2 linked regions of the Arabidopsis thaliana genome follow. The protein of the gene in region 2 interacts with the protein of the main gene of each other region in a biochemical or structural test. Each region holds a gene or a part of one and is shown on either strand. Other genes may lie near its edges.

What was found. The genes of interacting proteins can lie anywhere in the genome.
Region 1: the proteins of FLR1 (region 2) and AG form a complex in vitro, tested with the Arabidopsis thaliana proteins (one study listed by BioGRID).

What each region holds. Positions count from the first base shown.
Region 1 is NC_003075.7:10,381,055-10,388,855, reverse strand, and holds AG (K-box region and MADS-box transcription factor family protein), read right to left. Parts: upstream 6,001-7,801; 5' UTR 5,176-6,000; intron 4,945-5,175; 5' UTR 4,940-4,944; coding exon of another isoform or gene 4,816-4,939; coding exon 4,710-4,815; intron 1,875-4,709; coding exon 1,785-1,874; intron 1,711-1,784; coding exon of another isoform or gene 1,703-1,710; coding exon 1,629-1,702; intron 1,527-1,628; coding exon 1,465-1,526; intron 1,378-1,464; coding exon 1,278-1,377; intron 1,192-1,277; coding exon 1,150-1,191; intron 1,066-1,149; coding exon 1,024-1,065; coding exon of another isoform or gene 991-1,023; exon of another isoform or gene 894-990; coding exon 697-893; intron 588-696; coding exon 584-587; 3' UTR 317-583; downstream 1-316. UniProt on the Arabidopsis thaliana protein: Probable transcription factor involved in the control of organ identity during the early development of flowers. Is required for normal development of stamens and carpels in the wild-type flower.
Region 2 is NC_003074.8:3,873,482-3,878,619, forward strand, and holds FLR1 (Leucine-rich repeat (LRR) family protein), read right to left. Parts: upstream 2,822-5,138; 5' UTR 2,595-2,821; coding exon 1,991-2,594; intron 1,657-1,990; coding exon 1,283-1,656; 3' UTR 1,006-1,282; downstream 1-1,005. Other genes in the region: AT3G12150 (alpha/beta hydrolase family protein), read right to left, coding at 3,207-3,380, 3,469-3,743, 4,159-4,328, 4,448-4,532, 4,753-5,138. UniProt on the Arabidopsis thaliana protein: Promotes flowering transition in long days (LD).

The DNA of each region.
Region 1 (7,801 bases), on a different chromosome or scaffold from region 2:
TGAGCTTGATTATGACCATGATTTATTGAGAACAGGTATGGAGCCATCCGATAATGTTTGCTCTTGGTTTACGAAATGAAGCTAGGCAGAGATAAGCTATTGTATGTGCATTTAAAGAAAATATGGTTAATACTCTTGTATGTGTTTTCACCGAGCAAGACGCGAGATATTGAGACCGGGTGGTGAATGTATTCCTGGTAGGCAGCTACAAAATGAACGAATGTTTCGACATTTTGCAACTGTACCACATGGGGAGAAGGAGGAGGAGGATGGAACTCAGCACATGAATATATATCATTATCATATTGAGACTTTTCTATAATAAAATCATTAATAGAGCAGGAATTGGTAATTAAATACAACAATTGAACTAATAGTACACTTATACACATAGATGTTTTGAAGCAAATTAAGCACATTAATGACATGTCTTTAAGATATTAATTTCACATCAACATAAGCATAAAATTCACTGATACAACATTCATGGGATAAATATATATATAACATGCATTAGCTTTATATTGCTTGCTCAACCCAATTCTGGTTTTTATTCACTCCCGGCCATTTCCTTCAGCCTATATTACCTACAAAACAGCATAAAAGACCAAATCCATGCTGTCAAGTTTTACAAAATGGACCGATTAATAATATAAGACTAGAATGATTGATCGGAGCAAGATTTTGTGTCCTTACACTAACTGGAGAGCGGTTTGGTCTTGGCGACCCGCGGATGAGTAATGGTGATTGTTAGGTTGCAATGCCGCGACTTGGAAATAATTCCGTGAATCAAACGGTTGAGATTGCGTTTGAGGTGGTGGCATAAGCTGCTCGTAGTTAGATCCTCCTGGCATTAGACTTATACTCGGATTGTTCCTCTCATTTTCAGCTATCTACATTACACAAATATATGTCATAAACTATTTATCTACAAGTACTTTCACCATTTTAATCGTTTTCATATAATATTTATTGAAACAATAGGGAAAATTATAGAAATTGATATATAATGTGTACTTTTACCTTTGCACGAAGAATCTGGTTATCGTTATGCAAATCAACTTCCTGCTTAATCGGTGCAATGCAAATGAGCAAAATTATTATAAGAACATATTAAGAATAGAAATTAAGTTAAGATTTATTTCTTACTCTTTTCTGCATGTAGTCGATTTCAGAAAATAAGAGCTCATTCTGTAAAATTAAACAAAAATTAGCAACAAGGCATATAGATTTAATTTGATATTATATTGAAGCATTTATAAAAAAAATAGAATTACCTTCTTGGATCGGATTCGGGTAATACTTCTCTCTAATCTGCCTTCCAAGTTCCTGAGCTCTTTGGGAGACATTGACCCTATCGTCTCACCCATCAATTGCCTAATTGATTTATCAACATATGTTAATATATCAAATAGTTAATAACAACCAAGTAATCAAATATTTCAAGTCAGTTAGATAATTAACCTGTTGGAGTTTTGTATGCTGATTATTTGTTGACGCAATTTGGCTGATTCTTGTTGATAATACTACAACAACAACAAAAAAAAAAAGAGTAAAAGAATGAACAATGTTGTCATGTCATCATATATTAATTAAAATCATTCGTGTAATATTAAGTTACCACTTACCTGTGCATTAATTTCTGCCACCGATCCGGTGTTAGAATTGTCCGATATTGCCTTCTTGTACCTCTCAATAGTCCCTTTTACACTGCAATAATTTTTTTAAAGGAATTAATAAGTTAATTAGACCTATTAACTACCTATTTTCTAAACTTAATCTACGCTTAAATCTGCATTTTGATAAGTAATAAAAAATAAAATTGATAGGGTCAAATCGACCACTTGCACAGTTAAGTGATTCTAATACGAAACCTTAAAAGCAAACATCGGTTCTTTTGAGTCAGAAGAAATGCAACTTAATGTGACACATGATGTGAAGAAAAAACAAAAGTAATATAAGAAAAGGGAACAATTAAATAGTTAATAAAATATTTCCTTAAAGTTGTAACAAATAAAGAATCATTTTATGAAACAATATGAACCCTAAATAAATTAAAATTCCTCTGAAACCTTAAATTTATCGAGCTAGTGATTGGCTGCCAACTGCCATGCTGGCAAAATTAGAGTGACATGATTGGTCTGAACATGTCTAGGGTTTCAGACATGTGACATGTGTCAACAACCCATTAACACATTGGGTATAAATCCAATAGACATTTGATAGTATTAAAATTGTAACCATTGGATTAAATTTAAACGTGATGGATGTAACTAAATGACTTGTCCGAGTAACATCACAACGTTCCATACTTTCCTTATTTGGAATATAATTAAATTTACCATTTATTCTTTTTTCTTGAGTTTCCTGTATATGTACTTGTACATAGATATATATACACAAATACGTATTACAATGACATATTATAGACTTTGATGTCTGAACTCTCAACCTTCTCGATGGAGAGATCATGACCGTAGATTTTTTTGGATCGTAGAAGGCAGACCAAACTCTTAAACTATTGGATCCGTACTAAAAATCTCACTTTCCTCTCAGTACCCATAATGAGAGAGAAAATGATAAAAATCCCTAACATTATTCTCTCTCTAGAAAAAAAAAAGATACTTCAAAAAGAAAGAGAAATTGCATAAATCTATCTACACCAAAGATGTTGAAGCAATTCCAATGCTATACTTCTATGCCAAATCTATTTATTCAGTGATCATTAATCTTTTTACTTCCAAGAAATATGAACAATTTAGTATCCTTATAATTTTTGTCTCTATATATGTAATATGAACATTGGGTATTGACCAAATGAGAAATCTAATATTAAATGGTCAAAAGTAGTAATATGATGACATTTTTGAATTTATAAATAGGTTACAAATTAATTCATTATGACATAAAACCTTCTTGTCAGAAGTCAAGAACTGAAACTAACAAAACTTTATAATAAATTAGTAAAAATACAAGTGAAAAATAAAAAGAAATAATATCTGAGTGATGACGTGATCAAAGATTCTTTAACAAAGACAACAAATCTTACAGACCCAAAACCTAATCTTGCGCTCAATTCCAACCTCTGAAAAAACCTCAAAAATCTTATAAAAGAAAATAAATAAAGAAACGAAACTCTGATTTCGTAGAGTACCCATCGGATATATAAAAAGAAATTAGTAGGTAAATGAAGACTAATTTTGATTGACTGATTTAATTTGAAGTCGTTGTTAGCTTTTCTTGTTTTGGACATGAGAATTATATATTTCAGGACATGAGAGTTGACAACTGTAAACGATTAAGAAAATTGATCTTTTAATTTTCAAACACCATTTAATCTTGACATGTTTTATGTTTTGGTGGAGAAGAAAGTAATCACGTGGGACTCTCTACTAATAAGTATTTGGAAATTGCGTGTCGAATTAGAGATTACTAGTTTGAGTAATGTAGTTCGAAATGAGATTAGTTATTTTTAATTTTAAAAAGAGTAATTTTAAGGAATAACAAAAAAGAGTCCCCATAAGCTAATTTGTCTTAATTACCTCCTTGTTTCATTGACTATTTGAAATCTTGAAAATTCAGTTGAAATTTCAAATCTATGTTTCTTTTGACCACTTCTAAACTAATCTTAGCTCATATATAATTTTCCAAAACTACAAAAATAACACTAACATTTAACATTCTCAAGAGAAAACAAAAACAAAAACTTAGATAACCATCTAAATTGTCCTACATGTACGTATAAGTTCCATTATTTTCTATCACTCATATAAGTTAAAATTTCATGAAAACTCAAAAATCTAGCTAGTTTCACCTTATTCACTCTCACTTACCATCACATGTGTTTGTATCAAATATATGATATGATATAATTCATGAGAGAGAAAGAGAGCTAGAGATAAGAAAGGAAAGTAAGAGAAAGAAGAGAAGAAAAAGAGAGACACAGACATTAACAACAATGGAGGATGGATGATCACAAAACAGAAGATATGACCTCATAGTCCTTCCTTACTCTCTCCCCAATTTGTTTCCCAAAACTTACTTTTATAGTCATAAAAATCAAGTTTTTACCTATTACAACACCAGATCTATAAATATATCTAAATCTTCAAGTACTTGTTAGTAAGGAAAATAGAAAGATATAAGATTTTATTATTATTATAATAACAGAAATGAGTGAAGAAAGAACACCCAACAAAGTGAATCTTAGTTCTACAAAACTGAATCTAAAACTCCACATTAGAAAAAACCCTGATGGTTTCTTATTTCTTTTCATTTATTATCTAACTCTCACTCAGATCTCCTTTAACTTTGTACCATTTCCCTCACTTCATATATCTATATATAACAAATTCTCTCTTTTTATTTAAGTCTTAAGGGAAAATTAATATACACATGAAGAACAAGAAATTAGATCTACAAAATTGTTACAAAAACCCCCGAAGTAAATAAAATAAACATATCAAACAAATATTCCCACTAATGTTAGTGTGTTTATATATATATGTGTGTGGAATATGAAGGAAAAAAGTGAAAAATAATCCTACCCATAAGAGCATTCAAGAAGAAGAGAATCAAATCTAGCTTAGAAGATCGAAAACCCTCGTAAAAGATTTATGCTTTAACATAAACATAAAACCCTAAATCGGACTTTAAAAATAATTTAATTATTAATAAAGTAAGAACAGAGCACGAGAAGAAGAAGAAACCTGTTGTTAGAGTACTCATAGAGACGACCACGGCTAGAGAAGACGATGAGTGCGACTTCAGCATCACAAAGAACAGAGAGCTCGTAAGCTTTCTTGAGCAAACCATTTCTACGTTTGCAAAAAGTGACTTGACGATTCGTTGTGTTCTCGATCCGTTTGATTTCGATCTTTCCTCTCCCAGATTTCCTCAAGGGAGAGGAATCTCCTCCTAGCTCCGATTGGTACGCCGTGATTGCTGCTCCAAAGCCAAAAACGTTTAGGGCAAAATTTGATTAGTACAGAATTACAAGAATCCAACAAAAAACCAATCAAGATTTTCTTGAAAAGACTCAAGATTCTTCATGTTTTCTATTCTTTTGAATTATGGTTGAGATTAAAGTTAAACTATAAAGATTTAATTTAATTCTGTTGCCGACACACATCTTATAGAAGGAATTATAAAGTTGAAGAACTTTATTGATCTTACATTCATATTCTCCTAACAAGAGTTAATCAAGAAAGGATGGTAATACACAAGTTATAAACTAAGAACAAAATTGTTTTGTAACCATAGGGATAATTTAAATCTAGAGTGTGAAAAAGAAAAGTTTTAAAGAGTTAAAGAAGATCAGAGAATTTGTGAATCTTGTTTCTCTCTAAATAACATAAAAAGAATCAAATCAAAACGGGAAAAAAGGAAACTAAAGAAGAACAAAAATTTGGTTTAAGGACCAAAAGAAGTGAAGCAAAGTAATATTATGAAGAAGATAATGTTTGAAAGGATTGGGGAACAACAAAATACTAGCCTGACCTGTTGGGGGGAGAAGAACAAAGGGGAAAGTTTTATTTTTCTTGGGAAAATGATTTTCTGGAAAGTATGAGATTTGGAGAAGTTGCAGAAAATGGAAGGTAAGGTTGTGCTGGTGAAGAGATGGGTATATACATTTATAAAGGAATATTTTTTTTCTTTTTAATTTTCTCTACTATTTATCACCATTTTTCCCCACTTTTTACATCCATATAGTGTCTTGTCAATTTGTGTTTGATTACTGGTTTTCTTACTCACTAAAGCATAGTTTTATGAATGGAATCTATGAGATAAGTATGTGTTTCTTCTTTATTAGATAGAGTTAATATACATGTATTTTCTGAAAAGTAATTCTATTTAAACTGGTTTTGGAACATACACATGTTAGATAATTATGTGGTGAAAGTTGATTTTGAGAATTGACAAAAGTTTTGTACTTGGTTGATAGTTATATATGAGGGAAGTATAATTAATTAAACTGGTGTTTCTTTTCAGTACATTTAGACATATGATAGGTTAAAATAAAAGATTGACATAGAGCAATCTAAAGGTTCACAAAGCATGAGTACATCAGCTTTTGAAATCACATGAAAAATATTATTAATAAATAGTGTTAATTACCATAAATAACACCCACCATACATCCGGACTTTTCATAAATATAATACTTATTAAGGACACCCCCAAATTGAGAAATTGTAGAAATGAATAAATAGTTTTTGGAAATGAAGAAAAAAAGAGAGAGTTATTGGTGGGTAGTTCTTGTGTGGTCTTTCACAAAGGTCTAAATGAAAAGAGGGTTCAAGTTGGGCAATCACTCATGAGATGCAGACTCTACTTACCATTACTTGTCTTTGCTTTTCATGTGAAAGTTTTTGAGGCACTAAAATCTTTGGGTAAATCTGATCAGTACATTTTTTTGTTACAACAAATATCGATCTTCTTCTTTGTTTCTAGTTTTTACTAAATCTTGATCTTTTTAAAGAGGAAAAAATTTCAGCTCTATTCCCTTTTCTTTTGTGAATTGTTTTAAAGATTTAAGTGACATTCTGCAGGAAAATTTGTTTCACTAATTAAGGAAGTTATTTATAAACAAATATATGGTGTTGTATATTTGATACCATTTTACATTATTTTGCCAGAATAAATATAAGAAAATGGATTCTGGATACTGAAAATATTAAAGAATAGAATTTCAAAAAATTTATGATAATATTGTAATTACATGATGAGGTGTAATTTATTCCGTATATAGTAACTGATGGTGTACAAATATAAAGTAACATATAAAAGAAAACTGTGTAATTAGATATATGGCTAAACTGATTATTAGTAGTAAGAACCAATATACTTATCTATTTAATGGTGTGGCAAATATAGAATCGAATGATGTAAAAAGAAGGAGAAAATTACTCAGATAGTGAAGAAAATTAGCATACTATTTATGTTAGTGAGATTTGAAGTTGATGATGTTTACTTGTTGTGATATTGACATATAAAAAAAATGATAAATTAATAAGATAAATAGGGTTTTAGGGTTTATAGGGGAAATAGGGAGATGAAGCGTACTTTTAAGGGGCTGGACAAGACGTAGGGCTTAATTTGGAAAGTTATTTAAGTGTAATGCTTCTGACTCAATTAGAAGGTAACCAGACTTTTCTCTCTTCTCCAACTACTTTAATCTCTCTCTCTTTTTTTACATTTTCTTTTTGACTTTTGTCGCCCTCTTCAAGATCACAGCTCTCCATATTGTTTGTGAAACTACTATATGAATATACATAGGTGACTACTTAATAAATTTTGTTGAAAAGTATCTAACTGTTAAAATAGTTCTCCTAATTGGCTAAATGGATTAAAATTTAACCCAAAATATGGATTAATAATCTTTCTTGTTTTATTTGATAAAGATCTTTGTAGCTCGTATGTGGAAGAAAAAAATTGGGTAGATATTTTCTAACATTTTGTTAAATAAGTTATTTTTAAAAAATGTTGAATAATTGAGGAGCACAATGTATAAATGGAGTAAGGTTATGCCAAAAGAAGAGGGAGAGTAGCATGTGATGTGTAGTCTTTGATCTCCATCTTTATGAACCCATTTAAGGTAATTTGATAGAGATAAGAGAAACCTATATGTATATACAGTCCATATTCATATTTATTTCCCTATAACTATATATACATCCACTTGCAATGTGCTTTCTTTTCTTTTGTACTTTTTCTTTCTTTCTTGCAATTAGAAAAAATAGTATAGCTTAACTGCATGTAATTTACCTTCTCTAGTAGTATATTTAATTAGCAAGAGTTA
Region 2 (5,138 bases):
TATATAACAGAGACTTCAATGGAACACAGCTGTGTAATGTTACTGATTTTGTACAGTTTGGGTTCTACACTACTCCTAAAAGTTCTAACGTACAATAACCTTTTTATAACATAAATTCAATTCATCTCATAACTCATAAAGCATGGTGCATATATATATTTTTATTTAGTTGTTTTAACTATTTGATACGATATTCAATAATTTAACCATACGTTCGTCACTGCACCACTCAATTCTAACACTTCTGTCTTTGTTCTGTTCTTAGTTTATCGGTTGCTCAAATATAAAATAGCTAGAAGTGACTTAAAAAAATCGAGTAATGGAATCGCATATATTTTGTTATGTAAAGTATGGTTTTGAAAATTACTAACTCATAGGATTATGCCATGTGTCAAGTCTATCGATCAGATGTTGACACGTGTAAGAACATAATTAATTTTTTTCTTCTTAAAGAAATAGAAATACTAAAAAAAAAATCAATTAAATTTTTTCTTCTTAAAGAAATAGAAAACAAAAAAATAAATCATTATTAACATATACTAATTCATATATATATATCTAAAAAATATTACATTTTATTTTTCTTAACCAAAAGGAAAATTAACCAAAAATATTTATATATGTTATTGGTCAAATTTTTAATATGTATGGTATTAACAAAATTTTTATTATTATTAATTATGTTTTGTTAATTGTTAATAATTTTTAATATTAACTAAGATATAGATTTGATCTCATATATATTATTTTGACATGAAATCATTATCAAGTAAGATGAAGTGTATATAATTAAAATCGAGTTTTTTATGAAATAGATAGTTAAATTGTATTACAAAATTGAATATGTAAGATAAAAATTTGTTCTTTTCTTCTAAATACTAAATTATAATAAAGAAAAAGTGTGTAAGTTACTATTTAGACTTCAAATATCATCAATAAGATTGAATGGGTATTATAAAATAAAATGCATAAGACTACTATTTTACTATTCAAAATTATATATCAAGAACAATGTATAGATTATTATTTTACTATTCAAAATTTAAATATTATCGATAAAAAATTACAGTTACATTTTACACCCATCTATTTAGGCGGACTTATCTAGTGTTATAAAGATTAGACTTGTGAATATACCTCACAACATTCTTACGTAACCAATTCTTGCCATTAAATTAAATTCATAACAAAGAAACAATAAACTTGGTTTGGCGGTGATAATGAACACATCATCATAACATATTCAACATTATTTTTATTCTTCCGCCAAGATTAAACCAAATTAACAAGCCTTAAGGGGAGTTCCACAAAGACAGATGTTGTGAGCGAAGGCAGATGGTTCAAAGGTCTGAAGTAGACCGCCACTTGGGATTTTTCCGCAGAGATGGTTGTCGCTCACGTTGAAATGCTCGAGGTGTAGTTTAGTCAGTGCTGGTGGTATCTTCCCGTAGATATGGTTCTGGCTCAGATCCAACGAAACTATGCTTCTAGCGAACTTAACCTTGACGAGATCGAAATTAAACATGTTTCTCGACAAATCCACTCGTACTGTTGTTTTGTTCCGTCCGAAGAACATAAAGGCATCTCCTTCGAAACCATTTCCCGACAAATCCACTGCGTTGAAGTCGTATTTAGACAACGATTCCGGTATTTTTCCTGCAATGCAAAAATTTCATTAAACCGGGATTAGAAATTTATCAACAAAATCTTATTTGGTGCGAGATCTTAACTATAAAAGTTTCTTTGTGTTTTGTTGGGGACCAATTACCAAATATAAGTAAGTAACTAGTTTAGTTAAGGGTAATCCCACTATAAAATCTTCATTGGTTAGTGGTTACATTAACACTTTAAGGCACGAGGCTAGTTCTACGATTCCGACATAAATAAACATTTGACTTTGAACACAAGCCAAGCCAAAAACTAATAAATAAACATTTGACCAAAAGCATAGTATTAACTATTAAAGAAATGGAAAATGATGGCTAATTACCTGACAGCTTATTGTTAGACAAGTAGAGATTAGGGACGTTGCCAACAAAAGAACCGAAAGAGTTTGGTATAGAACCGGTTAGCTTATTATCGTTGATTTGAATGGCTTCAAGCTTCGGCATCTGAGATAGCGAACCGGGAATTGGACCGGTAAATTGGTTAAAAGAAAGGTCCAAGAACGTGAGGCTCTTGAGCTCGCTGATGTAATCAGGAATCGGACCGGAGAGACTAGTGTGCTTCAAGTAGAGAGTGTTGAGGTTCTTGAGTTTGGTGATGGTGCGTGGGATGTTTCCGGTGAGGTGTGGCAGGTAGCTGAAATCTAGTGTACGGAGGTCAACGAGGTCGCCGATCTGGTACGAGATCTGACCGGAGACTTCGCCGGAGGTAACGCTGAGACCGGTAACGCGACGGTTAGTGCATTCGACGCCGGTCCAGCCGGTACAACAGTCGGTTCGGGGGTTCCAGGAGGATAGAAGGGGAGGATTGCCAAGTGCTTTCTTGATTTGAAGGAGGGCATTCTTGTCATTTTCGGTGCAGCTGTAAGAAGATGGGAGAGTGATGAAGAGGATGGAGAAGAAGATAGAGAGATGAACAAAGAGCTTCATCGTGATTATGTGTGGATGCTTTGAGGAATGAGCAAGTTCTTGTATATAAGCAGAGACTTCAATGGAACACAGCTGTGTAATGTTACTGATTTTGTACAGTTAGGGTTCTACACTACTCCCAACGTACAATATTCTTTTCACAACATAAATTTAATTCACAAGCATGGTACATATATCTCTACTATTCAATAATTTGACCGTATGATAGTCACTGGCACACTGCACCAAATAGTTAGGTATACAAATGTTTTAGCATGTGTTTTTCATTGTGTATAAGATATATACGCTAGTTACCGCATCATTCATAGTGAGTACAATCATTTCATTTCATATAAAACACATGCTAGAAAAGAGCGCAAAGAAAAACAATGTTAAAGATCCAATGTATATGACATATTAATGGAATGTAATGAGCGAAAACCCCTAAAATGGTTGCTATGTGTTGGGACAAAAACAACACAAGACAAATAAATATCAGAGCCCACCACTTTTGAAAGCGCAAAGAATCTTATTCCTAACATACACAAATGATACAACAAGAGGAGATTAAGACATTTACATAATGACCCCTCCCTTTGTGTTAAAAAGGGGCTGTGTTACGCATGTTATACCTCACCATGACTCCTTCCAGTCTAATCTATCGAGACCGTCCACGATTGCTCTGCGAAACTCATCATTGTGAAGTATAAAGGAAGACACGTGTCCACCTGTGACCCATCTCACTTCTGAACCAGGCCACGCCTTTTGAAGCTCCAACACTGAGTGTTTTGGTATGTATCCATCATCCTACACAAATCATATAATCAGCAACCAGTAATGTGTCTCCAAACATATTGTTTGATGTTTCGAGTTTCGGAATAACTTTTCTACTTACAGTTGCAGCAACAAAGATAACAGCATCAGGGTTTTTGGGAATAGGGAAGCGAGTGACGTCTGTGAGGGAGAGAACATTCCGCATCCGCTCTCTCACTTCATCAAGAGTCATTGTGATCTTCTGTGCTGCAAGTTCCTCCCTCAGTGCCTCCCAAGCAGTCCCATACTTTAATATTCCTTCGCAGAATGCAACAACAGCAGAGTGCGGAGATAGGAATGGAAGTGTTGCAACTGGTGTTGGATGAAGCGATCCAACCATCGAAGCATGTACTCCTCCTAATATATTCATCCACCTTTATCAGTTTGAAGTTTCAAGTGAAAGGAAAAGGATAAGCAACTCAATCAATGCATGAAGCTGTAGCCGCATAGATCCCTAGATGGAACACTTGAACCTAAATCTATGGGTGCATATGCATTTGAGAAGCTTATTGAGGAGTTGGATTGTTATCTTATGAAGCACGATAACTAGGAGCGGCTACTTTACTTTACTATAGATATATGTAGAAAGCCAATTACCATCCCCACAACTACTGCAGGAAACCTATACCAGACCATCCAACTAGCGACATCCACAACACAGTTTAAACTTTGGATAACCTTGGTGAAAACGCAGATCTAACACTTATTCATCCAATTTAACTCAATGCATTAGCTCACAAGTTGTTCATAGAAGAAGATAAATGTAACTTACCCATACTTAGCCCACAAACACCCATCTTTCCAAAGCCTTCCTCAGTGTCTAGCCAGTGAATAAGACTGCGGGACTCTTCGATTGTTGCCCTCCCTAGCAAAAGTAGATCACTAACACAGAGGAGTCTCGCACCGCATTGAAGAAAGGGACGCCTTTGGCCATAGAAAGGGCTGCAGTGGCATTATCTATGTTTGATCAAAAACATGGCAAAAAGCTTCAAAAGCGGTCAAAGCAAAATGATTTGCTCTTAAGCTTTCATCAAGGGGGAGAAACAAGTCTCTTTTATTACCTTTCCAACACCATTGTTGCAATGTTTTGTTTCACCAACGGTCCACCCAAACGCAATCTTCGGTCATATGTATGATCACCTGTGCCTACAACAATGCCACACATCATCAGAAAGATATGATATTTACAAATCAAGAGCAATTGTAAAAAGACAATAACCTGGAAGGGCTATGAACAAATTAAGATCACATAGACAAGCCCTTCTAACAACTAGGCTTCAAAACACCAAATTTAAGGTCTCCTTGTGGTCACTTTAGTGTATATACCTATAATCTATTCTAAACAGAGAAGAATCAATAATGGTACCTGCAAGATGAACCACACAAGCCATCTTTTGGGGAGGAACGTTTTTGGGGACAAGCCAAGCAACCCTGGCTGTGCGAGACTCCGGAGGCAAAGCAGCGGTAAGCTCATCGGCACAAGGAGTCTGGAAAACACCTTCTCTCAAAGTAGCGGTCTTTGTCTCCCAAACAGTTCTCCAGACTGGACGAACCAGAGGCGGTGGCCAATTCTGACCTTGAACCTCAAGAGGGAAGAGGCGTTGAACCATACGCTCGAGCAATTCGAGATTGGGACCACCCCAACCTCGAGAGAAGAAGGGTGGGGTCATCTTGGTGCGGTGCATAAACGCTCCATATATATGGTCAATTACATAATGGAGCATTCCCAATTTGGTCGTCACCATTGTTCTC